7 linked regions of the Macaca mulatta genome follow. The protein of the gene in region 1 interacts with the protein of each later gene in a pairwise test. Links are inferred from orthologs where the notes say so. Each region holds a gene or a part of one and is shown in the gene's direction. Other genes may lie near its edges. The genes, in order: NUPR1, MPHOSPH6, FUS, PSMD4, STX18, KNSTRN and RANBP1.

Region 1 (3,331 bases):
CTGGGACTACAGGCGTGAGCCACTGCGCTTGACCTCATTATGTCTTCTGCCTCAGTATAATCCATATTTTGAAATACATATTTTGAAATACATAATATTTTATAATAATTTGTTTTTGAGACAGGGTCTCTCTCTGTCACCAGGCACTGTGGCAAGTTTCTTGCAAACATTATCTCATTTGATCCTCTCCCCAACTCTAGGAAGAAGATACAATTATTATCATCCTTGTTTTACAGAATTGGAAACCAAGGCACAGAGAGGTAAAGGGACCCACCTAAGGTCACACGGAAAGTGGTGGGTCAGGGGATTGAACCGAGGGCATCTGGCTCCAGACCCTGAACTCTCCAACCCTCTGCCGCCCTCCTCCTAGGTGAGGGAGATTACATTACTGGGGACCCTGTTTCAGGATATGAAGGGGTTTTCCAAGATGTTTCTCATAGAAAAAAAAAAAAAGGGTGTGGCTAATGCCCATAATCCCAGCACTTTGGGAGGCTGAGGCAGGCAGATCACTTGAGATCAGGAGTTCGAGACCAGCCTGGCCAACATGGTGAAACCCCATCTCTACTAAAAATACAAAAATTAGCCAGGCGTGGTGGCAGGGGCCTATAATCCCAGCTACTGGGGAGGCTGAGCCAGGAGAATTGCTTAAACCCAGGAGGAGGAGATTGCAGTGAGCCGAGATCATACCACTGCACTCCAGACAGGCGACAGAGACTCCATCTCAAAAAAAAAAAAAAGAAAAAAACAAGATGTTGAGTGTGACTGGGTGGAAGCCGCTGACTTGTCCCTGGCACAAGTGTGCTGATATCCCCTCCCCCTCCTTCCTCACATCCTGCATCTCAGCGAGAATTGGCGTGCTGGGGTTAGCTATGTGGCCATCACCCCAGGCCCAGGTGAAGCCCTCGATCAGGTGAGGCCATGATCCCAAGGAGTGTTTAAGCTCAGATCCTGCCTCTTCCCTGCTTTCTGCCGAGAAGCGGGACCTCCTCTGTGGAAAATATCCAGCTGGGCGAGCCTGGGAGGCAGGAGGTGAGTGGGGCCGGACTCAGGGACCAACTCTTCCCGTCTCATGACTGTGTTTACTGGGCTGGATTTTGAGAAGGGGCCAGATTGCATCAGACAGGGCCTGATGGGCTGGAGCCAGACTGTGGTCTGAGGAGGAGACACAGCCTTATAAGCTGAGGGAGTGGACTGGGAGTGGAGAGGCACGGGGCCAGGAAAGCAGAGAAAGACAAAGCGTTAGGAGAAGAAGACAGGCAGGGAGGACAAGCCGGGCACGATGGCCACCTTCCCACCAGCAACCAGCGCCCCCCAGCAGCCCCGAGGCCCAGAGGACGAGGACCCCAGCCTGGATGAATCTGACCTCTACAGCCTGGCCCATTCCTACCTGGGTAAGGCCCACTCGGCCATCTCCACGGTCCTTCCTCCTCTCCCGAAATCAGGACCCCTCCATAGACTTCCCACCCTCTCCTTTCCTCTCCTCTCCTTTCCTTTCCTCTTCGTTTCTTTCTTTCTTTCTTTTTTTTTTTTTTTTTTGAGAGAGTCACTCTGTCACCCAGGCTGGAGTGCAGCTGTGTGATCACAACTCACCGCAGCCCCAAACTCCTGGGCTCGAGTGATCCTCCTGCTTCAGTCTCCCGAGTAGCTGGAACTTCAGGTGTGCACCACCTGTAGTGGTGAGGTGGGGTCTCACTATGTTGCCCAGGCTGATGTCAAATTCCTGGGCTCAAGCAGTTCTCCTGTCTTGGCCTCCTAAAGCACTGAGATTACAGGAGTGAGCCACCCTGCCCAGCCCACTCACCGTTTTCTAGCCAACGTGTTCCTTGGACCCTCACGTCACCCCTGTCTAGTCCCTTATCCCAAGAGTGCTGTGTTACTCAGCCTGGGACCTCACACACATCTGGGGTCCCACATTCCACAGAGGGGAAGCAGCAGAATTCCCCCTGCTCTTCCCATCCCCGCAACTCCAACCCCCTGCCTCTCCTCTGACAGGGCGTCTCATCGTGCCTTTGCCCACTTCACCTCTGCCTCCTGCCTTGGTTACAGGAGGTGGAGGCCGGAAAGGTCGCACCAAGAGAGAAGCTGCTGCCAACACCAACCGCCCCAGCCCTGGCGGGCACGAGAGGAAACTGGTGACCAAGCTGCAGAATTCAGAGAGGAAGAAGCGAGGGGCACGACGCTGAGACAGAGCTGGAGGTAAGGAGTCGGGGGGCCCAGAGAGCTCAAGGTGGCGCCTCTGCCATGAAGGACAGCCGGAAGGTGCGCGGTTGGGTGGGGAGGAGGGATCAGACAACTGTTATCTCAATGCAGAATAAAATGAGACACACGTTTGGCTGTTTTCTAGCGGCCAGAGCAAAGGGGAACACAGAACCTTTCCAATTGGAGGGAAATTTGACTTACAGAGACAGAAACTGAGGCTGGAGAGGGTGGGTCCTTCCCTGTAGTCACAAATCAAGTAAGTGGGAGAGGCAGAATTAGAACCCAGATCTCTGTCCCTTTCATCACCTGCTTTTCCTCGCCCCCTAGATGAGGCCGGACCATGGACACTACACCCAGCAATGGAGACAGGACTGCGGAGGAAGGAAGAACCAAGACAGGATCCAGGCCAGCTTGCCACACCCCCCACCCCTGGGACTTATCCCCGCTGACTGAGTCTCTGAGGGGCTACCAGGAAAGCACCTCCAACCCCAGCAAAAGTGCAAGATGGGGAGTGAGAGGAAGGGAATGGAGAGGCAGAGCCAGGAAGATACCCCCAGAAAAGAAAGCTACAGAAGAAGCTGGGGCTCCTCTAGGGCAGCAGCACCAATAAATAGACGCGCACGGCAGCCACAGCTTGGGTGTGTTTTCATCCTTGCTCTTTCTGTGTTTTTGTTCGGGCACGTGTGTGCCTGCCTGTGCCTGCACATGCATGAGCCCGGGAGAGCATCTTTGGTGTGTATTAGTGTTTGGTATATGTATCTGGGGCAGGGAGTATTCCTGCTCTTACAGGGGTCTACGCTGTGAATGTGGCTTTTGGTTCGTTTGTTTTTGCTTGCATATATTTTAGTGCATACATTTTTCTGTGGGCTCCTACGTAGTGGAAAACAATTTCTTCTGCTTTTTTGCGATACTGCCCATGAAACACGGCCCTCCCCAGCGCCTGTTTTTGTTGATTATGTCCTGTTCATAGACGGGAATGCTACTTATGGATGCCATCTAAAAGATGGAGAAAACTGAGATTTAAAATATTAAAGGCCAGGGCCAGGCGCAGTGGCTCATGCCTGTAATCTCAACACTTTGGGAGGCTGAGGCAGGCGGATCACAAGGTCAGGAGTTTGAGACTAGCCTGACC
Region 2 (4,300 bases), about 49 Mb from region 1:
TTACTCTAGGGGTCACAACACTGTTTCCTCTATTTCACGGCAGTCACCACTTACTTATGTCCAGAATATCAGCTTCAGGAAAGATGAGGATAGGTGTTTTTACACGCTATTATACCCCGGCATCTCACACACAGTCACAAGTGAATAAGATTCCGTAGCCACTTAGTACATTACAATGATTTTATTTACTCCTGGGAAAACCTCAAGGGCTTTTAACATCCAAATCGGTGTTTGAATTTCAGCTCTAACATGGATTAGCTGTGTGAATTCCACCAAGTCCCTTACCCGCTCTGTGTCTCAGAATTCCTAACAACACGATGACAATACCTTCTTTCCGGTTCTTAGGGAGATTAAGCGAACTAATTACCCATAAGGTGACCAGGTCAAGAATCTGACATAAAATCTATGCTATCAGCTGAAATGCTATTAGCTTGAGGGTGTTCCAAAGCGTCGGACCTGGGAATGATTTTTGAAAACGTGTTTAGTTGGTACCCAGAGCATTAAACACCAGGGTATGAATGCCACTCTATTTTCAGTGGTTTTTAAAATTCTTTTTTGTTTTGTTTTTGAAACAAAGGCTTGCTCTATAGCCCAAGGTGGTGTCCAGTGGTGGGATCTCAGCTCACTGCAGCCTCGACCTCCCGGGTTCCAGTGATTCTCCAGCCTCAGCCTCCCAAGTAATGGAGACCACAGGTCCGTGCCACCACACCCACCTATTTTTTTTTTTTTTTGGTAGAGATAGGGTCTCACTATGTTGCCCAGGCTGGTCTTTTCAATTCTTTAGATCAAAACCAAGCCTTCTTCTCATTCAGGTGTCTTTGGCACCCATCCCTGCCTCCATCCCTTGCAGTTTCTTCAGATTCTTCTGTTTAGCAGGGATCACTCGGCCAGACACGCACCGGCAGCAGCCCGGGGATGAAGCCAGCCCGCCTGGGGTGGCCCCCGCCACGCTCCCCGGGACTCAGGGCTGCTGTAAGGAAAGCAGCAACTCGTAGGGTCCTGGTGAAGAGCAAACGACCTGGCCCCTGCACAGGGACCCAGAACACAGGAAGCCCGCCATCCACGTTAGGAAAACAATACACGTGGGTAACCAGACCCAGGCGGGTGGCACGCGTGACGCAAACCTGTGAGGCTGGCGAGGACTACTGAGTCTGAAGGGAGTCTCTGAGGAAGGGAGTCCCTGAGCGAGGATGGGTCCCCGAGGGGGCCAGGCCGACGTCCCGGGAAGGCGGCCCCCGGCTCGGGGAAGCCAGGCTCTGGGTCCTCCTCTGACTTTGGCCTTTTTGGGATCTGCCGCGCTCATCCCCGCGCCACCGCGCCGCGCGCTTACCCCAGCCTCTCAGTCACCAGAGCGCCCGCTGAGTGGCCGCGCCGGCGCGCGACACGCAGCGGCGGGGCCGCGGGGCGGAGCGGGGCGGTGCGCTTTACGAGAGCGACGCAGCTGCGCACGCGGCTCCGCGCATGTGCAGTGAGGCTCGCGGCCGGAGTGCGGCGCTGGGCGGAAGCCACCATGGCGGCCGAGCGGAAGACAAAGTTGTCCAAGAATCTGCTGCGCATGAAGGTGCGGGGACACTGAGAGAGCCATGCCGGGCGATAGGGGCACCCGATCGTTCCGACCTGGCCAGGGCCGAGGCGGCGGGCGAACGAGGGACACCAGAGGGGCCTCAGAGGGCTTCCAGCTCTCGTGCTCATTCATTCACTTAGCGCCTGCTCTGCACTGTTTACTGGGAACCGGGTTACGAATTAGGCCGACTCTCAGGAGGCCCACGGGTGGATGGGAGCTCGCATACACAGGAGCAAGCAGTCAGGGTACAGCTTACCAAGTGCAGTGAGGGTAGAAGCGCCGGAGCCCTGGGAACTCACCCAGCTTCTCGCGGGGTAGTGGTCCCTTTAGGTTCCTGGGAGGGTGGGAGGCACAGCGTCCTAAACTAGGAGAAACCTGAGTTCAGAAGTCCACGAGGCAAGAAAGAAAAAGAAAACCATGGAGATTTCCAAGAATGAGAGGTAATTCAGTATGTCTGGAAGGCAAGTACTAAGAAATGGGGTTGCAGAGTAGGCAGTGGTCACAACGTGCAGGAAATTTGAGGCCAGATTAAGGATATTTTCCTTTATTTTGTGAGCAATGGAAAGCTATTGACACGGGGAACAGTATAAAAAAATAGCAACTATTTATAGTACTAGACAATGTTTTAAGGGGTTTGCGTATATTAACCTGTGCAATTCACATAATGACACTTTGAGGTGACTACAGGCAATAACTCTCTTTTTACAGTTAAGGCAACTGAAACAGAAATAAGTAACTTACTCAAAGTCGCACAGCTAATAAGTAGTGTAGACAGGACGGGAACTCAGGCAGTCTTGCTCCAGAACCCTGGCTCTGTGTTACTTACTCTGTGATGCCTGTCACTGAGCACTACTTATAGAGGGTAGCAAACTGTTACATGTCATGTTTAAAGAGGTCGAATTTCCAAAAGAAGGAAGGAAGCGTTCATAATGTTTTGAAAGATTGGAGAGAGAGGCCATTCGCAGTGGTTCATGCCTGTAATCTCAGCACTTTGAGAGGCTGAGGTAGACAAATCGCTTAAGCCCAGGTGTTTTAAGACCAGCCTGGGCAACATGGTGAAACCTCATCTCTACAAAAGATACAAAATATTCGTTGGGCCTTGTGGCACGCACCTGTAGTCCCAGCTATTTGGGAGGCTGAAGTGGGAGGATCACTTGAGCCTGGGAGATCGAGGCTGCAGAGAGCTGAGATGGTGCCACTGCACTCCAGCCTGGGTGACAGAGGGAGACCCTGTCTCAAAAAAAAAAGAGAGTAAACATTACATGGGCAAGATTTGAATGGAGTTGAGCTAGGATGGAATTAGGAATGAATGGGTGAATGAGGATGCAGGACAAATTACATCTAACTTAGAGTTTGTCAAGCACTTTCATGCATATTAGGAAAATTTGAATCTTTACTGAACAGAGTTTGCTTTTGATTTTATGATTTGTAATAACATTAATTTCAGAGAAGTGGAGTGAACTGGCCAAGCAGATATTGAAAAGATTTTAGCAGTTGTTTTAGCTCTTGGAATAAGCCAGATGATGTACTGGGTGACTCAGGCTCAAACTAAATATCTGAGTTGCAACTAAGAAGGAAGAAATTAACTTAAAACAAGTGTCCACTCCCACCAAATGGGGAGACGCAACTGGACATTGGAAGCAAAGGAGAAGGAAAAAGATCACCCAGATTCTGTATTTGGTTTAGCAGTTTTGGTCATTGATGAGAAAAAACTTACTGGCAAGATAGCAGGAGACACTATCTATACTGATAGAAAAGAGTATACTGTGAGAAGGCATGGAACAGCTGCACTTAGGGTGCCTTAACCAGAGCTAAGTCCTATATAACATGGGTCCCCAACCACTAGGCCACGGAGCAGCACCAGTCCATGACCTGTTAGGAACGGGCTGCTCAACAGGAGGCGAGCAGCAGGCAGCAAGCGAGTGAAGCTTCATCTATATTTACAGCTGCTCCCCATAGCTTGCATTACCACCTGAGCTCCGCCTCCTGCCAGATCAGTGGCAGAATCCTAGATTCTCCTAGGATCAAAAACCCTACCGTGAACTGCACCTATGAAGGATCTACCTTGAGCTCTACTTATGAGAATCTAATACCTGATGATCTGTCGTTGTCTCCCATCACACACAGATGAGACTGTCTAGTTTCAGGAAAACAAGCTCAGGGCTTCCACTGATTCTACATTATGGTGAGTTGTATAATTATTTCGTTACATATTATAATAATAGAAACAAAGTGCGCAATAAATGTAATGCACTTGAATCATCCCTAAACCATCTACCCCTCCCCTCTCCACCACCCATGGAAAAATTGTCTTCCAGGAAACCCATCCCTGGGGACCACTTTTTAGGGCAAGTATGAGAGGGTTGAGGATTTAATCCTGACTCACTTGAAGGCCTTTGACTTGGTCAGCCATTGCAGGATGATCCCGATGGGAAGCAGAAAAAGAAAGATGTGGATGGAAGGTCTTCCAGTATGGAATGGTTGTAGAAAGGGTGCTTATTTGTGATTTTAGTACTGTTAGACTTTTAGAACAGGGCTTGGCAAGCTTTCTGTAAAAGACCATATAATAAATATTTTGGGCTTATGAGCCAGACAGTCTCTGTTACAACTACTCAGCTCTGCCAGTGTTGTTTGGGACAGGATGACCATGGCTGTATCAACAACAACGGACATCTAGCCTGAGGACCATATTGTGCTGTTGCCTGCTGTGAGTCCCCACTGGTTTTGGAGTGTGTT
Region 3 (4,105 bases), about 1.6 Mb from region 1:
TTGCTGGGGGGGGCCCAGGACATGGCCCTCATTGTTTCTCTAGAAGGAAAGGTCCAACCCTCAAAAGACCTTCCGGAATCCCGCTGAAAGTTAAGTTGGGAAGGAAAACCTGCATGCGTATGTATCAGGAATTAACGTCTTTTGTCTTGCTTTGTTCAGTAGTTTCAAATTGCCTTCTCCAGGCAAGGCTGATGAAAGTGCAAGTTGCAAGTTAATTTGAATTTTTCTTTCTGCTTTTGCTCTCACAGGAAGTGGAAAGGCAACCAAACACTCTAGCATTCATGCCACCAAAAAGAGGTTTTGCAGTTACAAGACCTGGATTCGAATCACGACTCCTCTTAGCTGCCCTGTAATCAGGCACAATTACTTGGGTCTCTGAGTCTCACTTTTCTTATGTAGAAAACGGAGATATGTTTACCTCCTTCGTAAGACTGATGAGAAGGAAATTATCTGTGCATTTTGAAACCACTTAAGCCTTGTACACGTTTTATTTCTGGGATCGCCACTGGTTCCCTGGTAGGGCTTCAGAAAAATAAAAAGGAGGTCCCTGAGCAAAGGCTGGGGGGCCCTTCATCTGAGGCCAACCCTCTCTTGTCCCAAGGATGGCCTGGACTGCTCCGCCCCGCGGCTCCCCAGGGGCAAAGCCGCGAGGGTCCGGGTGAGAGCCCAGTGCTGGACCAGCTCGGCGCTCAGGGGTCCCGGCCGAAATCCCTGCTGTCTTTCAGGTCAAACGTCATAATTCCCGAACCCCAGAAAGGCCGAAAAGCAAGGCAACCCCGAAAGACGACGAAGTCAACACCAGGGCGCAGGGCCAGTGTGCTGACGACGAGGGAGGCTGGAGCCGCGGGGACAAGGCGCCCCATACAGCGGCAAGAGGGCGGAGGGCAGGAGCTCGCCGTCCTGGGTGAAAGCGGGGCCCAGCGAAGAGGCCCGGCCACAGGAATGTCGGTTCCACCCCGCGACTCCCGGCGGTGACTCCAGTTTCGTCCCCAGCCGCCCGGCCCCGCCCCGCCCCGCCCCCAGCGGGCACTCAGGCCGTACCACTGTGCCTTCATGGGGGTGGAGTTAGATCGTGGGCTAGTCCTGCCGAGGAGAGAGGGGTTCTTCCCCCAAAAATATCATTATGTATAGTATTTGCATGATTCTAGTTAACTCGTTTCCCATCTGCATGCTCGGAACCTCTACCTACGCTAGGAAGGGGGCGGAGCGCTTTCCTGCCTCCCCCTGCTCTTCCGCGTTTGGTGCGCGCCTGCGCGGTGCGTAGGCGGCGGGACCTACTTAAGCTTCGACGCAGGAGGCGGGGCTGCTCAGTCCTCCAGGCGTCGGTGCTCTGCGTTGTTGGAATCTTGTTGCTTGCTTGGCTGTGCGCGCGTGCGCCGACATGGCCTCAAACGGTAGGTAAGGGCGCGAGGCGGCGGCGGCGTACCGGGCCGAGGCCTCCCACCTAGGCTTTTCATTTTCGGTGGGACCGGGGTGGCGATCCTGTGTGGGATTCTTTCGCGCCCCTGTGGCGGGAAACCGCGGAGAGGGGTAACTGGAGGAGGCTGGTGTCGCCATTTTGTTTCGCTCCTCTGGCCCTCGCGCGCGGGGCGGCAAGTCTTCTCTTCGCAGTCCGTTTGCTTGGGGTGGTCGTTGGGAGGGACGCTTCTTAGGGGCTTGAAGCATCAGGTGAGGGTGGAAAATGCCCGGTTTCCGTGGCCTCGCCTCCCCCAACTCCCGGCCCCGCGCTCAGGCCCGCTTTGTCGCAGTGCTGCATCCGGGCACTCGCGGTGCGCACGCGCTCTGCGGGCCCCTCCCCCTTCGCGGTGCGGGTACCCCTTCCCCGCCTCGTGTCGGTTCAGCTTTTTGTCGCGAGACCCTTCGCGGAAGACTTGGCGGCGCGCGTCCGGTGTGAGCCTTGTTCCTCTGGTCTTTCGCGAAGGGGCGGGACAGCTCCATTCCCGCCTCGGTTGCCACGCGGCTGGGGGCGGAGGCTCGGTATCTGGGCCGCGCTCCGGCTTAACGGTTTGGAGGAGGTGGTCGTGGATCCACCAACGGACTCGGTGACCTGGCCCGAGAGTTTTTCCCGCCCCATTTTTTTTTTTTTTTTTGAGTCAAGATCTCCCTCTGTCGCCCAGGCTGGAGTGCAGTGGTGCGATCTCAGCTTGCTGCAATGTCCGCCTCCTGGGTTCAAGTGATTCTCCTGCCTCAGCCTCCTTAGTAGTTGGGATTACAGGCGCCTGCCACCACAGCCCGGCTAATCTTTGTGTTTTTTAGTAAAGACGGGGTTTCACCATGTTGGTCAGGCCCGTCTCGAATTGCTGGCCTCAGGTGATCCGCCCTTCTCGGCCTCCCGAAGTGTCGGGATTACAGGCGTGAGCTTCCGCTCCTGGTCTAAATTTCTTTTTTCTGAGATTGGGACGGAGAATAACAGCCGTCGAGGCCACACCCTCTCCTGGTCCTTTCCCTTTTCCTGCGGGGGAAGCGCCGCGTTTCCTGCGCTGGGAGGATGAGTTGATCTTGTTCGTGTATTTAAAGTGGGGCGTTTCAAAAGGGCTTTCGTTGCTTTTGGTTCGCCCGGGGGAAGGCAGGGTAGATGAGAAAACAGAACCATCTGGAGCCCCACGGCTGGGGACTCGAGTACCTGTTGACTTTGGCCTCTTAAGGCGAGCACTTGGATGATCTCTGTCATTTGGGGTCCAAGGGCTCTTGATTCTCTGGCTTTGCACTAAAAAGCCCACTACTTCTCCGGAATTGGTCAAAGAGTGAAGAATGGCCTTTTTTGAGACATTCTTCTGTGGGTCTGGGCTGAGAGAGTAGAGGCCACAATCTGAACACTGCTCGAATTCAAACCTGTGCTACTTGGTAGCTCTACGACTTTGGGAGCGAGTTAGTCTGTTTTGACTCCTGGCAATAATGGCTTTGTCATAGAGTGGATGAAGCGAATGCGCGATGTTTTAGAGCAATCACTGACATGAATTGGTCTTGCAGAAAGTTGTGGCTGTCCACCAAGACCTTGGTTTTTCCAACGGTTAAGGCTTCTGGGACTCTGTAGAAACTTGCATTTTCTTCACTTTTTCTTTTTTGTAAGAACACTTGGCTGATAGGCCAGTTTGCTACTCTTCTCAACCAGTGTCTCAATGGGGGAATTTTATGCCCTTTATTGAAACGTGATGCTTTTTTTTTTTTTTTTTTTTTTTTTGAGACGGAGTCTCGCTCTGTCGCCCACGCTGGAGTGCAGTGGCGCGATCTGCAACCTCTGTCTCACGGGTTCAAGCGATTCTTCTGCTTCAGCCTCCCAAATAGCTGGGATTACAGGCGTGCGCCACCATACCCGGCTAATTTTTTGTATTTTTATTAGCGATGGGGCTTCATGTTGGTTGGAATTCCTGACCCCAAGTGATCCATCCACCTCGGCCTCCCAAAGTGCTGGGATTATAGGCGTGAGCCACCGCACCTGGCCTGTGTGGTCCTATTTATTCATCAGTGCTTGAGTTAAGGAATTTAGCTTTAATTCAACTGTTTCAGAGTGGCGGCTGAAGATAATATGATTGTATTTTTTTTTTTTTTGCAGATTATACCCAACAAGCAACCCAAAGGTGAGTGCTGTTTTTGGGCTTCCAGAGTTTGTAGAGGGGAAGGGTGGTCAAGCTGTGTTTTCTGATCACGCTGGTTTTCCTTTCATCTAGCTATGGGGCCTACCCCACCCAGCCTGGGCAGGGCTATTCCCAGCAGAGCAGTCAGCCCTACGGACAGCAGAGTTACAGCGGTTACAGCCAGTCCACGGACACTTCAGGCTATGGCCAGAGCAGCTATTCTTCTTACGGCCAGAGCCAGAGCAGTGAGTCTTTCTCAGCAGGTCACCTCTTCCTGCTCTTTCTGAATATTGCTTTTCTTTTTTTTCTTTTTCTTTGGGAGACGGAGTCTCATCCTGTTGCCCAGGCTGGAGTGCAATGGTGCTATCTCAGCTCACTGCAACATCCGCCTCCCGGGTTCAAACAATTCCCCTGCCTCAGCCTCCTGAGTAGCTGGGATTACAGGCACCTGCTACCACGCCCTACTGATTTTTGTATTTTTAGTAGAGATGGGGTTTCACCATGTTCGATAGGCTGGTCTAGAACTCCTG
Region 4 (4,188 bases), on another chromosome or scaffold:
ACGCTGGGATTATAAAACCTAAGCCATTGCATCAGGCCTTAAATGTAATTTTTGATTAACAAACCAAAATGGTTTAGTGGTTTGTTCTTTGGGAGATTAGTTAATATAATTGAGTTGTCAAATCTTTTCTGGGCTCTCTACTGGGCTTAGGGAATTGTAAAGATTAAGACACATTGCTGGCCAGGTGTGGTGGCTCACGCCTGTAATCCCAGCACTTTGGGAAGCTGAGGCGGGTGGATCAACTGACGTCAAGAGATCGAAACCAGCCTGGCCAACATGGTGAAACCCTGTCTCTACTAAAAATACAAAATTAGCCGGTCATGGTGTCACGCCCCTGTAGTCCCAGCTACCTGGGAGGCTGAGGCGGGAGAATCGCTGGAACCCAGGAGGCAGAGGTTGCAGTGAGCCTAGATCGAGACACTGCACTCTAGCCTGGGTGACAGAGTGAGACTCCTTCATCTCAAAAAAAAAAAAAAGACACGTTGCCTACCCTTAGTTAAATGGGGGAGGAGATAAATATACAAATAAATTCAATTCAAAGGTATAAGGGCTTGTTGAATTAAAATTCTACAGGGAACTGAAGGCTGTAGAAAGTCATTAGTGATCTCTACTTTTTTTTTTTTTTTTTGAGACGGAGTCTCACTCTGTCCCCCAGGTTGGAATGCAGTGGCGTGATCTGTGCTCACTGCAATCTCTGCCTCCCGGGTTCAAGCGATTCTCCTTCCTCAGCCTCCAGAGTAGCTGGGATTACAGGCGCCCGCCACTATGCCTGGCTAGTTTTTTTTTTTTTTTTTTTTAAGATGGGGTCTCACTCTGTTGCCCACGCTTGAGTGCAGTGGTGCAATCTCGGCTCATTGCAATCTCCGTCTCCCGGGTTCAAGTAATTCTCCTGCCTCAGCCTCCCGAGTAGCTGGGATTACAGGCGTGCGCCACCATGCCCGGCTAATTTTTTGTATTTTTAGTAGATACAGGGTTTCACCATGCTGGTCAGGCTGGTCTCGAACTCCTGACTTCGTGATCCGCCCGCCTTGGCCTCCCAAAGTGCTAGAATAACAGGCGTGAGCCACCGCGCTCGGCCGATCCCGACACTTTTTTTTAAAATGACGAAGCTGGAACCGACACAGCACTTTCAAAGGTTCCTCCATAGCTCCTCTGAGATCCGGCCAGCGGGAAACCCCAACTGGGAACTGCAATGGCAGGGAAAGTAGAGGCTAGATCCTGTTGTGTTACCGCGATTCCCTTCAACTACCCACAAGAAGCCCATTTGTTTGGCGGCGCCTACAACTCCCAGAACGCAACACGGGGGACGGAGGCGGAAGCTGCTGGCCAAGCCGAGGTCTGTGATTGGTGAAGAGCGATGGGCCAATTGGAGGAGTTGTTGTTAGGCCGTCCTGGAGAACCGGTCGGGAGGGAGGAAGGTGGCAAGATGGTGTTGGAAAGCACTATGGTGTGGTGAGGAGCTACCTCGGGGCAGGAGGGGCACAGCTGGGTCCCGGGCGCGTGTGGCGCCAAGGCAGGGCGGGCCTGGGGTGGGGGCCGGGAGCTCATGGGCGAGAGGCGGCCCTGGGCCCGGAGGTTAGGAGCCCGCTGGAGTCCCTGAGTCATCCCGGGGCCGTGGAGTGGCAGACAGTCCCTGGTTACCCCTCTCACCCCCAGGGGGACGGTCATTGACCGGTCATTCCTGCTGCCTTTCTCTGTTCTAGCGCCGTCTTCTCTAGAGCAGCCCGGGTCTGTCCTTAGCCACAGTTCTGCTTCTCGGACTCATCGTAATAGTTTTCTGCCCTCCTTTCTTCGCAAAATAATGTCTATTAGAAAAATAGATTATTAATCCCTTCCTCTCCCCATTCCCTCGTCTCTAACTTCATTACCTTTCCCTGTGTCATCTTCAAAGGTACCATTTACAGATTGCTTTTTATGTCTCAGTCATTTTGTTTATCTCACTTAAACCTCACAACCACACCTTAAGGTAAATTATCTCTCCGTTTTACGGTTCAGGATACCGAGTCTCAGCGATTTTGAGTGATTTGTCCAAAATCACACAGCTAGTTAAGTGGTGGAGTCAAGATTTAAACCCAGGGCTGTCTGACACAAAGGCTTTATCCGGTGAGGTAGCTGTCTTCGCCAGTCTCAGGCTTGGGCTGAGTACCTATTAGGAGTCACATTAGATGGGGAGGACATAAATTTTTGCAGGATTGCAAGAGTTCCTTCTACCTGTAATCATTGAATGTAATACAGAATAGTTGACGAACACAAATCACCAATTGGGTGAGACAGACACCTATGAGATTTCGTCTTTTTAGTTTTTTGGGGGAGCATAGCGTTGCCAGGTAACATACAGGATGCCCAGTGAAATTTGAATTTCAGATAAACGATGAATAATTTTTTTTTGAGAGGGTCTCGCTCTGTCGCCCGAACTGGAGTGCAGTGGCCCAATCCGGCTCACTGCAGCCTCCGCCTCTTGGGTTCAAGTGATTCTCAATGATTGAACTAATTTACACTTGCACCAACGGTATACCAGTGTTCTCTTTTCTCGCAACCTTGCCAGCTTCTTTTTTGACTTTTTAGGATAGCCATTCTGACTGGTGTTAGGTGGTATCTCATTGTGGTTTTGATTTATTTGCATTTCTCTAATGATCAGTGATACTGAGGTCTTTTTCATATGCTTGTTGGCCGTATAGTATGTCTTCTTTTGAAAAGTGGCCAGGCGCGGTGGCTCAGTTCTGTAATCCCAGCACTTTGGAAGGCCGAAGTGGGTGTATCACCTGAGGTCAGGAGTTCCTGACTAGCCTGGCCAACATGGTGAAACACTGTTTCTACTAAAAATACAAAATTTAGCCAGGCGCGGTGGTGGGCGCCTGCAGTCCCAGCTACTTCGGAGGCTGAGGTGGGAGAATCGTTTGAACCCCAGAGGTGGAGGTTGCAGTGAGCCGAGATGGTGCCACTGCACTCCAGCCTGGGCGACTGAGTGAGACTCCCTCTCAAATAAATACATAAATAAATAAAAATAAAGTATCTGATATCTGTTCATGTCCTTTGCCCACTTTTTTTTTTCTTTTTGAGATGGAGTTTTGCCCTTCTTGCCCAGATTGAGTGCAGTGGTGCCATCTCAGCTCACTGCAACCTCCGCCTCCTGGGTTCAAGTGATTCTCCTGCCTCAGCCTCCTGAGTAACTGGAATTACAGGTGTCCACCACCATGCCCAGCTAATTTTTTGTATTTTTAGTAGAGACGGGATTTCATCATGTTGGCCAGGCTGGTTTCAAACTCGAGCTCAGATGATCCACCCGACTCAGCCTCCCAAACTTCAGGGAATACAGGTGTTGAGCCACCACGCCTGGCTCCTTTGCCCACTTTTTTTTGTTGTTGTTGTTCTTACTGCCCAGGCTGGAGTACAATGGCACAATCTTGGCTCACTGCAACCTTCAGCTCACCGCAACCTCCACCTCCCGGGTTCAAGCGATTCTCCTGCCTTAGCCTCCCGAGTAGCTGGGATTACAGGCATGTGCCACCATACCTAGCTAATTTTGTGTTTTTAGTAGAGACAGGGTTTCTCCATGTTGGTCAGGCTGGTCTCAAACTCCTGACCTCAGGTGATCCACCTGCCTCAGCCTCCCAAAGTGCTAGGATTACAGGTGTGAGCTACTGTGCCCAGCCCATCTTCCAGGATTTTTATAGTTTTGAGTTTTACAGTAAGTCTTTAATCCGTCTTCAGTTAATTTTTGTGTATGGTTTAAGAAAGGGGTCCATCTTCAATCTTCTGCATATGGCTAGCCAGTTATGCCAGCACCAGTTATTGAATAGGGACTCTTTCTCCTCACTGCTTTTGTCAGTTTTGTCCAAGAGCAGATGGTCATAGGTGTGCAGCCTTATTTCTAGACTCTCTATTCTGTCCCATTGGTTTCTGTGCCTGTTTTTGTACCAATACCGTGTGGTTTTGGTTATTGTAGTCCTGTAGTAGTAGTTTGAAGTTGGGTAAAGTTGCCTCCAGCTTTGTTCTTTTAGCTTAGGATTGCCTTGACTTTTCCGGCTCTTTGTTGGTTCCATATGAATTTTCAAATAGTTTTTTCCTAGTTCTTTGAAGAATGTCCTTGGTAGTTTGATAGGAGTAGCAGTGAATCTGTAAATTGCTTTGGGCAGTATGGCTTGTTTGTTTGTTTGTTTGTTTGTTTATTTATAAGACAGAGTCTTG
Region 5 (3,500 bases), on another chromosome or scaffold:
GGAGGAGGGGATGCTTATCAGGTGATTGGGAGTGAGGACTCTGTGCTCATCTCACCCCTTTCTTTTTTAGAAGGGCCTGTCCTCAGGATGGATGTATTCCCTGTTTGTTTGTGCCTGAAGTTTCCTAGAGAAGGCTTTGGGACAGCATGCCTACCCGTCTTGAGGTGGGGGAAAAAATTGGTTCAGGAGGAACTTACTAGACAGCACAATCGTAGCTGTGTATCAAGCACATTCTCCAACTCATTCATTTGTTCAGTTCATTCAAAAGTATTTGATTACTGATTTATTAATTGATCAGCCTACTAAAAATGCTAGGCATTGCTCTTGATGATGGGGATACAGCAGTGAACAAACAGAAGTCCTTGCGTTTGTGGAACTTACATTTTTACAAGGGGGAGAGACAGGCAAGAAAAGAAATGATTACGCAAAATATATGGAATGTTAGAGTGGGATAAGTATCTTTGTGGGGAAGGAAGAAGGGAAGTGGGATAGAAGATGTCAGGGAAGGGACAGTTTGTAAAGAAGGATTAGGGAAGGCCTCATTCAGAGGGCAACGTGGAGTAAACACCTAAAAGAAGTAAGGGATCCATTGATGCAGCTATCTGGGGAAAGAACATTCCAGAGGAGGAGACAACCAACACATGGAAAGGTCCTGAGGTGGGAGTGTGCCTGAAATGTTTCGGGAACACCCTCCACCCTCTGATTCGGTCATTGTGTGGTGTGAGACCCCTCAGTAGCTGCCCCATTGCTCTCAAAGCAGAGCCTACATTCTTCATAGCCCAGCTTATGCTGCAGCCCTCACTCCACGCTCCTTCTCTCTCTCCCTTTCCCCATCTGGCTTACGTCAGTTGGGTCTATTCCGGAGGGTTTTCTACCACACACCCTTCATATGTGTTAGTTCTACTATCTATCTATCTAGATGGTTCTCTCACCTTTTCACCTGGCCTGTTCCTTCTCATCCTTCAAGTCTCAGCTTAAATGTCACTTGATGAGGGAGGCCTTTTCTTCTCTTCCCATCCCACTCAGACTATATTATGTTATCATTTGCTGCTGCCCTTTCCTTTGCTGTCTTTTTTTAGCCATACCATGTCTGAATATGGGAGGATGACAGACACAGAACGAGACCAGATAGACCAGGATGCCCAGATATTCATGAGGACCTGTTCAGAAGCAATTCAACAACTACGAACAGAAGGTAAAGTGCTCTGAAAGATGCAAACGTGCAACCATGAATATAGCAGGTAGTTAAACAGAATTCATATGGTGTGGCCGGTTAAAATTCTCTCTTCTTATGTTGATTTAGGTTTCAAAACATTAAAATCTTTTCTTTCTTATCAGTGTTTTAACCAAAGCTGTTAAAAGTACTGAAAAGGCTGCATCTTTCAAGTTAAACCAATGGGAGCAGGGAGATGGAAAGGACCTCTCCAAACAGAACCAAAACTTTACCTAGGGGCCAGGGACAGTGAAGACAAATCGTGTGCGTGTGTGTGCGCGCGCACGCACGTGCACGCCACGTGCGCGTCTGTTCTGTGTGGCAAATTGTATGTGTGTGGGTGTGTATGTGTGTATGCTTATGTGTGCCTCTGTTCTGTGTGGCATTTAGTGGGATAGGGGTTGACAGCAGCCCGGGGTACTTAAGCTCTCTACTTGTAATATTCAAGTAAACTTTCCTATCAAACCTTCAAGGTTAGGAAGGCTCTGGATCCAGGACTGCCTAGGTGGTACCCCAACTCCACCCGTCCGAGTCATATAGCCCTCTGCAAGTCACTTAGTCTCCCTGGGCCTTGTTTTTTGTCTATGAAATGCAGACAATTAGGAGATGTATCTCTAGGGTTGTTATGAGAATTAAGTTAAATTCTTACAGCATGCTTAGAACCATATCTGGCACTAGGGTGCTTATTATCTCACTTTCATTGATGTTTAATTCTCACTGAGACAATGAGATGGCTTCCCAAGTCACGCCTCTTTCTTGATTCTTTTTTAATTTGCTTAGGCAGATACAGAGTACATTAAATAGTAAGTAGAGTTCAAAGCTGCCAGATGCTGTTGTGCTCACAACACAGACCTCTGTTTGGGAGGTTTTTATTAGAATGCTGATGGACCACTTGGAGACTCTGATGGAAGCAATAGGCATTCTTGCCAGAAAAATGTACATACACAAAATTCTATATGCAATTTCACAGAGCTCCTGAGTCCCCCACATGAATCTTGGGTTAGGCAGCCCTATAGTAAAGACAGAAATCATGCCCTCTACCCTTAAGGGCATATATATTCATTGAGAGACCTAAAAAATACACAGGAATATTAACAAAACCTACATTTACATATGAAACCATCTAACCTTGGGCTATTTATTGCCTCTGAACCTTAATTTCTTCATGTGTGAAATGAGGAAACTCGGAATTGCTATTTTAGTTACTAGCAGTACATATGTAAAGTGCTAGCAGAGCACCTGCACACAGTAGGCAGTCAATCTCTCAGTCAGTGGTCACTGTCTTACCAAAACCAGTGGCACAGACTTCAGGTCTGGTAAGGCCTTTTAGCACATTTCTGTGTGGTGGATCCCAGGAGAAGGGCATCTGTGTGGCTAGGAGTCATAGAAGGTTTCCTGGAGACGGAAAGTTTGACTCATTGTCTAAGGGACCCTCAGAATGTGAGTGGCCTGGGGGAGAGGATGGGGCACCAAAGGCTGAAAAGCAGCACAGGTTCAGGCAGGGAGGAGTGTGTGATTTCAATTATTTAAACATGTTCCCTGAAGGTCAGCTTGAGCATTGGATGCTGTTAACACAGATGGGGGTCAGCATTCAAGAAGTGGCTGCATCAAATACTATCCTTAAGTGTTCTGATAAACCATAAATTATTTGACTATAGTTTTTCTACAGGTTTAATCTTTCACTCTTGTGAAGCCTAATAAATCTTACTCTTCTAAAAATGTAGTGTCTTGACACAAGACTTGTTTTATAGCTGTGTTTTAAAAAATACTCTCAATAAAGAAAGTGTTGTGAGGAAGCTGATGAATTGCTCTTTAGGATAATTGAATGCGAAGACCTGAACATTGTCCTTTTCTGTTACAGCTCACAAGGAGATACATTCCCAGCAAGTGAAGGAACACAGGACTGCTGTTTTGGATTTCATTGAAGATTACTTAAAAAGTATTTCATTTTCTTTTAAAGGTCAAATGTGGCATTTCACAATAGATGTGATGCAGAATTTAGCTTTGCTAGCTGAAGACTGTAGTGTCTCATTATATTTAATGATGCCTTTGCCTGAGAAGCTGTTTTAAGCAGTCTTTCTTCTGGTATTTTCCCCTGCAACAGGAGTCTGTAAACTTTACTCAGAACAGAGAGCCATCCGAGTTAAAAGAGTGGTGGATAAGAAAAGATTGTAAGTATTGCTTTCATTGGTGTTTCTTAATAATAGTACTACTAATAATAGCAGTTAAAGTTTGTAGAGCACTTACCCTATGCAACTTACCATATTTGAACTTCTTCACAAAATGC
Region 6 (4,265 bases), on another chromosome or scaffold:
TATATATAAATTGAGTCAGGTACAGTGGCTCATGTCTGTTGGGAGGCTGAGGTGGGAGGATCATTTGAGGCCAGGAGTTTAAGACCAGCCTGGGCAACATAGCAGGACCCCATCTCTACAAAAAGTAGCTGGGCCTGGTGGCATGCACCTTTAACCTTTAGTCTTAGCTACTCAGGAGACTAAGGTGGGAGGATCTCCTGAACCCAGGAGTTCAAGGTTGCAGTGAACTATGATTGCACTCCAGCCTGGGCAACAGAGTGAGACCCTGTCTCAAAAAAATAAAATACAGTAAAATAAAATATAAATTGGATGACACTCTCCTGCTATAATGCTTCAGTGACTTTCCATTACTTTTAGATAAAATCTAATCTCTATACCTTAGCCTGTAAAATTTGTCTTTTGACTTCTTATTTCTCCAGTTTTATCTGTACCACTCTCTTCCTATCTTTCTGTGCCTAGGGAAGAACCCATTTCTGCCTTGGGACTTTGCATTTTCCCCTTTCCCCAATGATTAACTCCCTCTCCTCCTTCCTTAATCGAACATCATCTCAGAGAGGTCTTCCCTGAGCCCCCAATATAATCTAAGTTTCCCTGCTTTTCTATCTTATAGGATTTTGTACTTTCTCTTCATTGTGTGTGAGTGTGTGTGTGTGTGTGTGTGTGTGTTTTGGTTTGGTTTTTGAGATCATGCTCTGTCACCCAGGGTGGAGTGCAGTGGTACAATCTCAGCTCACTGCAACCTCTGCCCCCCGGGGGTCACACAATCCCCCTACCTCAGCCTCCAGGGTAGCTGGGACTACAGGAGCATGCCACGACGCCCAGCTAGTTTTTGTATTTTTTGTAGAGATGGGGTTTCACTATGTTGCCCAGGCTGTTCTTGAACTCCTGGACTCAAGCAATCCACCCGCCTCCACCTCCCAAAGTGCTGAAATTACAGCTGTGAGCCACTGCGGCCAGCCTTCTTCACAATTTCACCACAATCCGTAAATATATATTTATTCAGGTGATTATTTGTTCACTGTCTGTTTCCTAAGTCGTAAACTCCAGGAGGGCAGAGCCAAGGTCAATCTTGATATTTGCTCTCCCTCAGTCCCTCCCACCCACTGAGAACACTGTTGGGTAATCAGGAAGTGCTCAATAAATGCTGGATGAAATGAATGAACTAGTGCATTTAATGATGCAAACTACCCTGTTTATTAGGAGTAGCTTTGAATCGCTACTTAAAATCTGGGTAAGTACTATTAAAATTAGGACCTCAGGTAGGTGCCTCAGGTATCTCAGCCCATAGGTCCTTTTCTTCAAGCTTCACCTGCCACTCTCCTCCTGTAATGTGTAGTTTTCATCCAAATAACCTGTGCTCCTGGCAATATCCCTAACAATCCCAAACTAAATAAAGAGGATTGTGACACGGACCCTTAATGTGGCCACGTTTGCGTCTCCATCCCGGAATATGACGCTGGTAGCTCATTAGCTCCATTCAAGCCTACAAATTGCATCACCCTCCTCCTCCGCCCAGACCTGGGGGCTCCAACACCTTTCGCTAGGTCTGCCTCTGGCCTCCGAGCGAACCTTCCGTACAGCATGGCGGCTCCCGAACCCCCGCCAGGGAACAGAATGTTCCGTACAACATGGCTTTCTACGGAGTGCGATTCCCACCCACTTCCGCCCAGCTACCGGAAGTTTCCATTTGAAACCGAGGCGGCCAACTTGGCAGGCGGCGCGACAGTTGCTTCAGGGCATCTTTTGAAAGAGAGCGACAAGGACTGCGGGCAGGACCGGCGGGCTCCTGGGTTCGGCTCTCCCGGGGCGAGGGACTGGGCTGGATGGGAGGAAGGACGGAAAGAGCTGGGAAAGGAGGATTTTCTCTTTTCCAACCCCGAGCCGAGGCCTGTCGGGTCGCGCTATCCCCAAGCCCACCACTCTCGGGCCCAGTAGTCCAGCGCTGGGTAACATTCATCCTGTACCTTCCAGAGTTCAGCCGTGCCGCCTCGTTACGATGACCAGTGTGGTTAAGACAGTGTATAGCCTGCAGCCCGCCTCTGCGCTGAGCGGCGGCCAGCCCGCAGGTGAGTGCCCACGCCGCGCCCGGGGCACTGCGGCCCGGCCGGGGATGGTCCCGGGAGTGTGGAGATCCAATGGGTGGCGTGGGCACTGGGAGGGTGTCCCGCCGGCCCTGAAAACCTGCGAGCGCCCTATAACCAGGGTGTGTAGGTTTATGATGGGAGTTAGGGGAAGGGCCATGTGGTAGGATTTTAGACCTGCTCTGCATTTTTCTGCCCGCGTATGTACTGTATTCATCAGTTAGATTTAAGTTGTTGGTTATTGTACAATGTTATTCCCATTAAGCTAGGAATCCCCTTCTAACCGGTTATCCGTCTTATTTCCAGACTTGGGTCATCTTGAGGGATTGGGTTTGTTTTCAGGGAGGAAAGAGGAGAATCATTTGAGAAGTGGAATGCTTAGGGTTCTTTGTTCACCTTTACATCTGCGCCGTGTTTCTCGAGATAATTATTGAGAATTACCACATTCTCAATACACGTTTGTTGAGTGAAGTGGGAGAGAGGGGTTAGACCTAGGCAAAGTATTTGAGAAACTTGGGCGAAGAGACAGACATGATTAAAAATAGAGTTTTTAATTGCTTTGCCATCTGCTTTGTGTTGCTTTGCTTGTGGTTCAAAGTCATCTCATGGGGTTTGCAGTCGGGAAACTGCCTAATCTAGAGATTATAGTACAGAATAAGCTTCAGACATCAGAAAACTGTTGCGGGAGATTGTGGAGTAGCTATTTATGATCTCTTCCCAGATGATTCCACACAGCTGGTACATAAACCTTGGCAGGATTGAGCTCTGAAGTAAATAGGCTTTTCTTCAAAGGCTTAATGGGTTGTTTGTTGTCTTGTGTAGCCACAGAACACCTGAATGGTAATCCTGGCACCAGCGGGGACTAGGAGTTGCTGGAAGAACTGGAGCCAGGTCTCAGCTGCTTGCTGTGTCTTTCCCTTAGATGCAGTGCCCTCAGTCAGTGGGCAGTGACTAGCTCTCTCAGCCAAGCTGCGAGTGTTCATCTCTTGGGTTTACATCTCTGTCCCAGCTTTATGATCATATGTAACTGGAACAGTTTCAAATTTTTAGGCTGCCTCCCAGGTTTTTTGTTTTGATTTTGAGCATGGGCTGGATAAGTAATTTATGCACATGTAAAAAAAAAAGTTGGAAAACCATATACAATGATAAACAAGTTTCCTTCCCTTCCTTGACACCAGCCATCCAGTTCCCCTCCCAGTGTCTCCCATTTTTAGGAGACAGCTTTGTGAAATCCTACTAAGTTTTTCCTACATTGCAATCCTTAGGTTTTAGCAAATACGAATTATTGGAACCAATTCTAGTCAATGAAGAGTGTTAATTTTGATCAATCGACTGTTAATTCCATTTTACATGGAGTAGATTTGTTGTTTATAACTTGCTAATACTTGAGAGAGGAGATGATATTTCTCCAAGGTTACTTTTTACTTCAGACAGACACCTCAAAAAGAACCCTTTTAATACCTCATTTGTACCGCATTTCTTCAATTTGATTTGATTGTAATGGCTCTTAAGTTAGGTCAAGCTTAAAGGGGCCATTTTACAGTGAACAAAGTGAGAATGAGTCCAGAAAAGCCTGCGTGTGAGGGTGGGGGTGCTTTTAACTCCAGATAAGTTACTTGAATTTGCTGTAGAACATGAATGATGGACTGTGTGGTTGGGGAGCTGGCACAAGGATGAAGGAAAATTCTCACCTTTGGGGAAGAAGAGTGTTATGGCAGGGCCATTTCTCTGGTTATCTAGCAAGAAGATCAGATTAGAATGCCTAATAGCGAAACTCTAAACTTAACGAAGGGTAAACGAAAGAGCTGGTGGTAGAGGCAGTCAGCATGGAAGAGGAAGGGACCAGACAGGTGGTTTAGAGATGGTCTGTGAAACAACCTATGCAACTGTGAAGTGTTTGATTTATTCAACAAGCAGTTATTGAACCCCTGTTCATATGCCAAATATTCTTCTAGGTGATGGGGACACAAAGATGTCTTAGAGTGGTTAGGAAGATATTCTGGGAAAAAGAACGAAGTAACAATTTAAAAAAACTCAGAGCAGCTCAGTCATGCCTTAGGAGAGTGTGCAGCGTGCTTGGAGTTGCTTAACGAGATGGTACAAGGATTCAGCCGTGTTTTACTTCCACCCTGCTCTCTGCTGGTGTCCATCTCCATGTTCACTTTTACAGCCTCCACCTTTCAG
Region 7 (4,069 bases), on another chromosome or scaffold:
GGCGGCCTTTCCAGAGGGCACCATGCAAAACTCGCAGGGCCTTGTCCCTCTCTGCAGCGCTGCGGAATGTCACAAAGGCGCAGGGTGGTTGCCCAAAGAGTTTGGTTTTGTGGGGCTGCAGGCCAAAGCGGCCCAGGAAGCGCCGGACGTCGCTGAAGCTGGCGTGGCGAGGCACGTTCTGCAGCTCCAGTTTGAAGATCTCAGAGGTAAACAAGTCATCCCTGATGTAGCTGTAGAGCCCAGGTTGAGGCCCCGGCCCTGTAGCTGCTCCAGCGCCCTCTTTCTCCACCTCCTCCAGGGCTGCCGGGTCTGCAGGGAGCACCGAGGCTGTAGGGCAGCTCGGGGCACTGCTGCTCTCCTGGCCACAGCTCTCCATGGGCTTTGGGCCCTGTGTGGGGACAGATGGGGTGCTACGGTGAGGACTAGACCCTGGGGCCTGGCCCCCCAGGTTCCCCTATGGCACACCCAAACCTCCGTCGGTGCACTCTGCACTCAACCCTGCCCCTCCCCTCCCCCATTCTACCCTCCCGACCCCATTCCCGTCTCCTTTCCTCCCCCATCGCATCCTCCTCGTCCCCACCTATTCTCTGGCAGGTTTCCTGCCCCACCCCGCCTCCTCCCACCCCATCCCCGTCTCTACCCAGCGTCTCCCCGCACTCTACCTCGTTGTCGAGGTTCTCACTCATCGTTCAGGCGGTTCTCCGCCTAGACCAGGGGTGCCACGGGGGCCGCCTGGTCACCTCGTCCTGGGCCTGTCACAAGGGAAGTGCTCAGAGGGGAAGTGCTCAGAGAGCCAGTGCAACGCCGCGAGGTCGCCGCCAGCCCCGGCTTCGACCCAGATGGGGCGGTACTCGAACCTGCGGTGCTCAGGTCCTGGTCTCAGGCTTCGGGCTGCACCGCCCGCCCGCCAGGGGCCCGCGCCGGCCGCACGCTTCGCCAGCCACTCTTAGTCCGCCAGCGCGTGCCGCGGAGGCCGAGCGTCTCTATGATCCTGACTTCCTGCAACATCATAGCCACGCGCCGGCTCCAACCACTTTAGCCAGCTCTTGGGGCGCGCGTGGCCGGGACGGAAGTGCGCGCAGGGGTCGCCGGGAATGCGCGCTCCTCTGGCTGACGGGCGGGCCGGGCATGCGCCACGGGCGTTTTGGCGGGAAGCGCGGGGCGGGCCGGACAATGAGAGTGTCCGCCGCCTGAGCCAATAAAGCTGTACTGGTTTTGAATCGCGGCGCGTTTCCCGCCGCTGGGGTCAGGGGTCGAGGTTCGGGTCGCGGGGCGGAGGGAAGAGCGGGCGGGCGGGAGGCGCCGGCGCCAGACGCGGAGGGAAGGAGCTACGAGTAGCCGCCCAGAGGCCGCGGAGCCAGCGACGACCGACCCAGCCGAGCCGCCGCCGCCGCCGCGCCCCCATGGCGGCCGCCAAGGTGCGGCCTGGCCCAAGCGGGGACAGGGTGGGCGGGCGGGGCCGGTGGGACCGGGGCCGTTATCAGCGGCCACGTGGGCGGCCCGCGCAGCAGCCACCAACCCCCGCCGGCCTGCAGGTTCGGCCGTCTGCTGGGCCTCGGTGGCGCGGGGTCGGGACGCGTGGGGTTTGGGGGCTCGAGGCCTGCGGAGTTGGGGCTTCTGGGGGTGCAGGCTCTGCAGAGGCCTGGGGGCTGCAGGGCGCCCGCGTGACCTTGGGGTGGGTTGGGGGCGGCCGTCGCCACGCGGGGCGGCCCCAGCCTCCGGGAACTGGTGCGGGCGGCGGGTTTCCTCCGGCTCGGCCCACTTGGGGCTTCCCACTAGTACGGTGCATTTATTCCTTCCGTCGCCCACGCAGCACTTCATTCATTCGGTTCTCACGTGTGGAACCGGCTCTGGCCTCTGTGGCAGAAGCTCGCGTTCCAGCGTGGGGCACAGGTCCTGGACGCGCCGACCCGGGCGGCGGCTTTGTTGGCTGAGGTGTATGGTTGAGTGCGGGCCGCTGCAGAGCCGCAGTGCTGTGGGAAACACAGAAGAGCAGCGAAAAGCTTATGTTTTCTTTTCCAGTTTGAGTCTAGTGGTGAAGTCTTAGGTCTCTTATGGACTTCTGGGTGACCAAGGCACGTGTTCTGGAAGACTCGAACCTAAAATATGATTATTGGTGCTCTCTTATCCTCTAAATTGGGTCAGGATTTCATGACTTTCACCGGTACAATTTATCTAGTTACTAACTTAATTTCTTGAACTGTGAAAAAATTGCTGGCAGAGCTATGAATCCAATGTAAATACTACCAGTCCTGTAGCGACTTTTTTCATTCTAGTAAGCAAGAGCACAACTATTTCCTAATTAGTAAAAGCTGAAATAGTTACATTTTGCTTTAAAGTAACATTTCAAAATCTATTTCGACCCATCATTGTGTCCTTTGATCTTCACACAGCAGGTATCGTCTGCATTTTATGGATGAGGAAGAAACTGATGCTCAAAGAGATGAGGCAGTTACTCCCAGGCCACTCTGCAAGTGCTGGCGGAGTTGTAGGGCCCACCATCAGTCTGTGCACAGATCTGACTGATGTCTGTCAATCTGGGGGAGGGGCCCCAAACTCGGGTGTCTCGCTGTAGGCTCATGCACTGAGTGTATGGAGCTGGGCGTAAATGCAAACCTTTCCTAGCGTGGAAGAGAGGGCCTAATTTCTTGCTTTGGGGTGGAGCCCATCCTTGTAGCTGAAGTCCCTTCACTGTCGGGGGGCAGACCACTGCAGGCACTGGTTGGGCTCTGGCTGTGAGCCGGATCCATAGGCCAGCAGTGTAACCTCTTTGTATTTCCTCAGGACACTCATGAGGACCATGATACTTCCACTGAGAATACAGACGAATCCAACCATGACCCTCAGTTTGAGCCAATAGTTTCTCTTCCTGAGCAAGAAATTAAAACGCTGGAAGAAGATGAAGAGGAACTTTTTAAAATGTAAGTAATCTGATGTCCCAGAAATAGGACCCTTTAAGGTTGAAGTTACAGCTTTTTTGGGTGTTAAGGTCTTGGCCTGACTTTTAATCAGACTGAGGTTCTTTAAAGAAAGGGCCTAAAGTTGCTTGATGACTAATCCCATGTGGAAATTTAACCCATTGCTTTTATGAATCTTCACCAGGTGCCCTTGCTGCCCTGCAGCCAGTTGCATGAAGGGCATCCCATTATTGCTGCTCTGTTCACTGACATGGCGGCCCCACTGCTGTTTCTTGCCACTGGCTTCTGAGGATCCAGGGAGTCCCTTTGGTTGAGCAGGGGATTTTAACTTTTTGCAGCAGAGTTCTTTGGCATTGTGAAGCTTATAAATCCCCCACCCGGTGTTTTTGTTGTTGTTGTTGTTTGAGATGGAGCCTCGCTCTATCGCCTAGGCTGGAGTGCAGTGGCGTGATCTCAGCTCATTGCAAGCTCCGCCTCCCGGGTTCACGCCATTCTCCTGCCTCAGCCTCCCAAGTAGCTGGGACTCCACGCCCGGCTAATTTTTTGTGTTTTTATTAGAGACGGGGTTTCATCTTGTGAGCCAGGATGGTCTCGATCTCCTGACCTTTTGATCTGCCCGCCCCAGCCTCCCAAAGTGCTGGGATTACAGGCGTGAGCCACCTCGCCTGGCCCACCCTTAATACACAACGTAATACTGCAATTACACGTGAAAATAGGTGATGGTTTAGTTATCAAAAACACCTGAAAAGATTCTGTACGTGTGCTTCTTGACACTTTCAGTTAAGAGCTATTTGCAGTGGTGGATACCAGCCTTGTGTCTTGTGACAGCGTCACAGCACTGCAGAGACTGGCCTGTCGCCTACACTCAGGATTGCAACAAACATCATGTTTAGTTACACACCGTAGTGAAATGAGATTGTAGTTTTTCCCTGTTCAAGTTCACGGAACCCCCCACCCTTGAAGTAGCTTTAAGAGTACAGGTTAAGGTTTGGTTGCTCTGGGGTGGGAGAGGGAACCAGAGAGTCATTCCTACTGTGAGTTTCTTCTCTAAGGAAAGGGGCCAGGAGGGATACCTGGGAAAGGAGAGCTGTGTGTCACCCTTTGGTCACAGAGCGTGATGGACATCTCCCTGAAGCCACTGGGTGGCCGTG

The links.
Region 2: the proteins of NUPR1 (region 1) and MPHOSPH6 interact in a two-hybrid assay, tested with the Homo sapiens proteins (2 studies listed by BioGRID and IntAct). The link is inferred for Macaca mulatta from reciprocal best matches to the Homo sapiens genes NUPR1 and MPHOSPH6.
Region 3: the proteins of NUPR1 (region 1) and FUS interact in a two-hybrid assay, tested with the Homo sapiens proteins (2 studies listed by BioGRID and IntAct). The link is inferred for Macaca mulatta from reciprocal best matches to the Homo sapiens genes NUPR1 and FUS.
Region 4: the proteins of NUPR1 (region 1) and PSMD4 interact in a two-hybrid assay, tested with the Homo sapiens proteins (2 studies listed by BioGRID and IntAct). The link is inferred for Macaca mulatta from reciprocal best matches to the Homo sapiens genes NUPR1 and PSMD4.
Region 5: the proteins of NUPR1 (region 1) and STX18 interact in a two-hybrid assay, tested with the Homo sapiens proteins (2 studies listed by BioGRID and IntAct). The link is inferred for Macaca mulatta from reciprocal best matches to the Homo sapiens genes NUPR1 and STX18.
Region 6: the proteins of NUPR1 (region 1) and KNSTRN interact in a two-hybrid assay, tested with the Homo sapiens proteins (2 studies listed by BioGRID and IntAct). The link is inferred for Macaca mulatta from reciprocal best matches to the Homo sapiens genes NUPR1 and KNSTRN.
Region 7: the proteins of NUPR1 (region 1) and RANBP1 interact in a two-hybrid assay, tested with the Homo sapiens proteins (2 studies listed by BioGRID and IntAct). The link is inferred for Macaca mulatta from reciprocal best matches to the Homo sapiens genes NUPR1 and RANBP1.

Annotation. Positions count from the first base shown.
Region 1 is NC_133425.1:28,259,732-28,263,062, reverse strand, and holds NUPR1 (nuclear protein 1), read left to right. Parts: upstream 1-1,199; 5' UTR 1,200-1,279; coding exon 1,280-1,391; intron 1,392-1,992; coding exon of another isoform or gene 1,993-2,046; coding exon 2,047-2,183; 3' UTR 2,184-2,196; intron 2,197-2,526; 3' UTR 2,527-2,831; downstream 2,832-3,331. UniProt on the Homo sapiens protein: Transcription regulator that converts stress signals into a program of gene expression that empowers cells with resistance to the stress induced by a change in their microenvironment.
Region 2 is NC_133425.1:77,533,023-77,537,322, reverse strand, and holds the start of MPHOSPH6 (M-phase phosphoprotein 6), read left to right. Parts: upstream 1-1,500; 5' UTR 1,501-1,510; coding exon 1,511-1,561; intron 1,562-4,300. UniProt on the Homo sapiens protein: RNA-binding protein that associates with the RNA exosome complex. Involved in the 3'-processing of the 7S pre-RNA to the mature 5.8S rRNA and play a role in recruiting the RNA exosome complex to pre-rRNA; this function may include C1D.
Region 3 is NC_133425.1:29,823,030-29,827,134, forward strand, and holds the start of FUS (RNA-binding protein FUS), read left to right. Parts: upstream 1-1,305; 5' UTR 1,306-1,381; coding exon 1,382-1,394; coding exon of another isoform or gene 1,395-1,398; exon of another isoform or gene 1,399-1,784; intron 1,785-3,553; coding exon 3,554-3,578; intron 3,579-3,668; coding exon 3,669-3,838; intron 3,839-4,105. UniProt on the Homo sapiens protein: DNA/RNA-binding protein that plays a role in various cellular processes such as transcription regulation, RNA splicing, RNA transport, DNA repair and damage response. Binds to ssRNA containing the consensus sequence 5'-AGGUAA-3'.
Region 4 is NC_133406.1:115,828,943-115,833,130, reverse strand, and holds the start of PSMD4 (26S proteasome non-ATPase regulatory subunit 4), read left to right. Parts: upstream 1-1,388; 5' UTR 1,389-1,426; coding exon 1,427-1,452; exon of another isoform or gene 1,453-2,424; intron 2,425-4,188. UniProt on the Homo sapiens protein: Component of the 26S proteasome, a multiprotein complex involved in the ATP-dependent degradation of ubiquitinated proteins.
Region 5 is NC_133410.1:8,530,425-8,533,924, forward strand, and holds part of STX18 (syntaxin-18), read left to right. Parts: intron 1-1,079; coding exon 1,080-1,195; intron 1,196-3,074; coding exon 3,075-3,152; intron 3,153-3,317; coding exon 3,318-3,384; intron 3,385-3,500. UniProt on the Homo sapiens protein: Syntaxin that may be involved in targeting and fusion of Golgi-derived retrograde transport vesicles with the ER.
Region 6 is NC_133412.1:17,693,251-17,697,515, forward strand, and holds the start of KNSTRN (small kinetochore-associated protein), read left to right. Parts: upstream 1-1,465; 5' UTR 1,466-1,581; coding exon 1,582-1,790; intron 1,791-1,971; coding exon 1,972-2,066; intron 2,067-4,265. UniProt on the Homo sapiens protein: Essential component of the mitotic spindle required for faithful chromosome segregation and progression into anaphase.
Region 7 is NC_133415.1:32,563,616-32,567,684, reverse strand, and holds the start of RANBP1 (ran-specific GTPase-activating protein), read left to right. Parts: upstream 1-1,269; 5' UTR 1,270-1,403; coding exon 1,404-1,418; intron 1,419-1,912; exon of another isoform or gene 1,913-2,054; coding exon of another isoform or gene 2,055-2,075; intron 2,076-2,784; coding exon 2,785-2,921; intron 2,922-4,069. Other genes in the region: TRMT2A (tRNA (uracil-5-)-methyltransferase homolog A), read right to left, coding at 1-388, 663-686. UniProt on the Homo sapiens protein: Plays a role in RAN-dependent nucleocytoplasmic transport. Alleviates the TNPO1-dependent inhibition of RAN GTPase activity and mediates the dissociation of RAN from proteins involved in transport into the nucleus.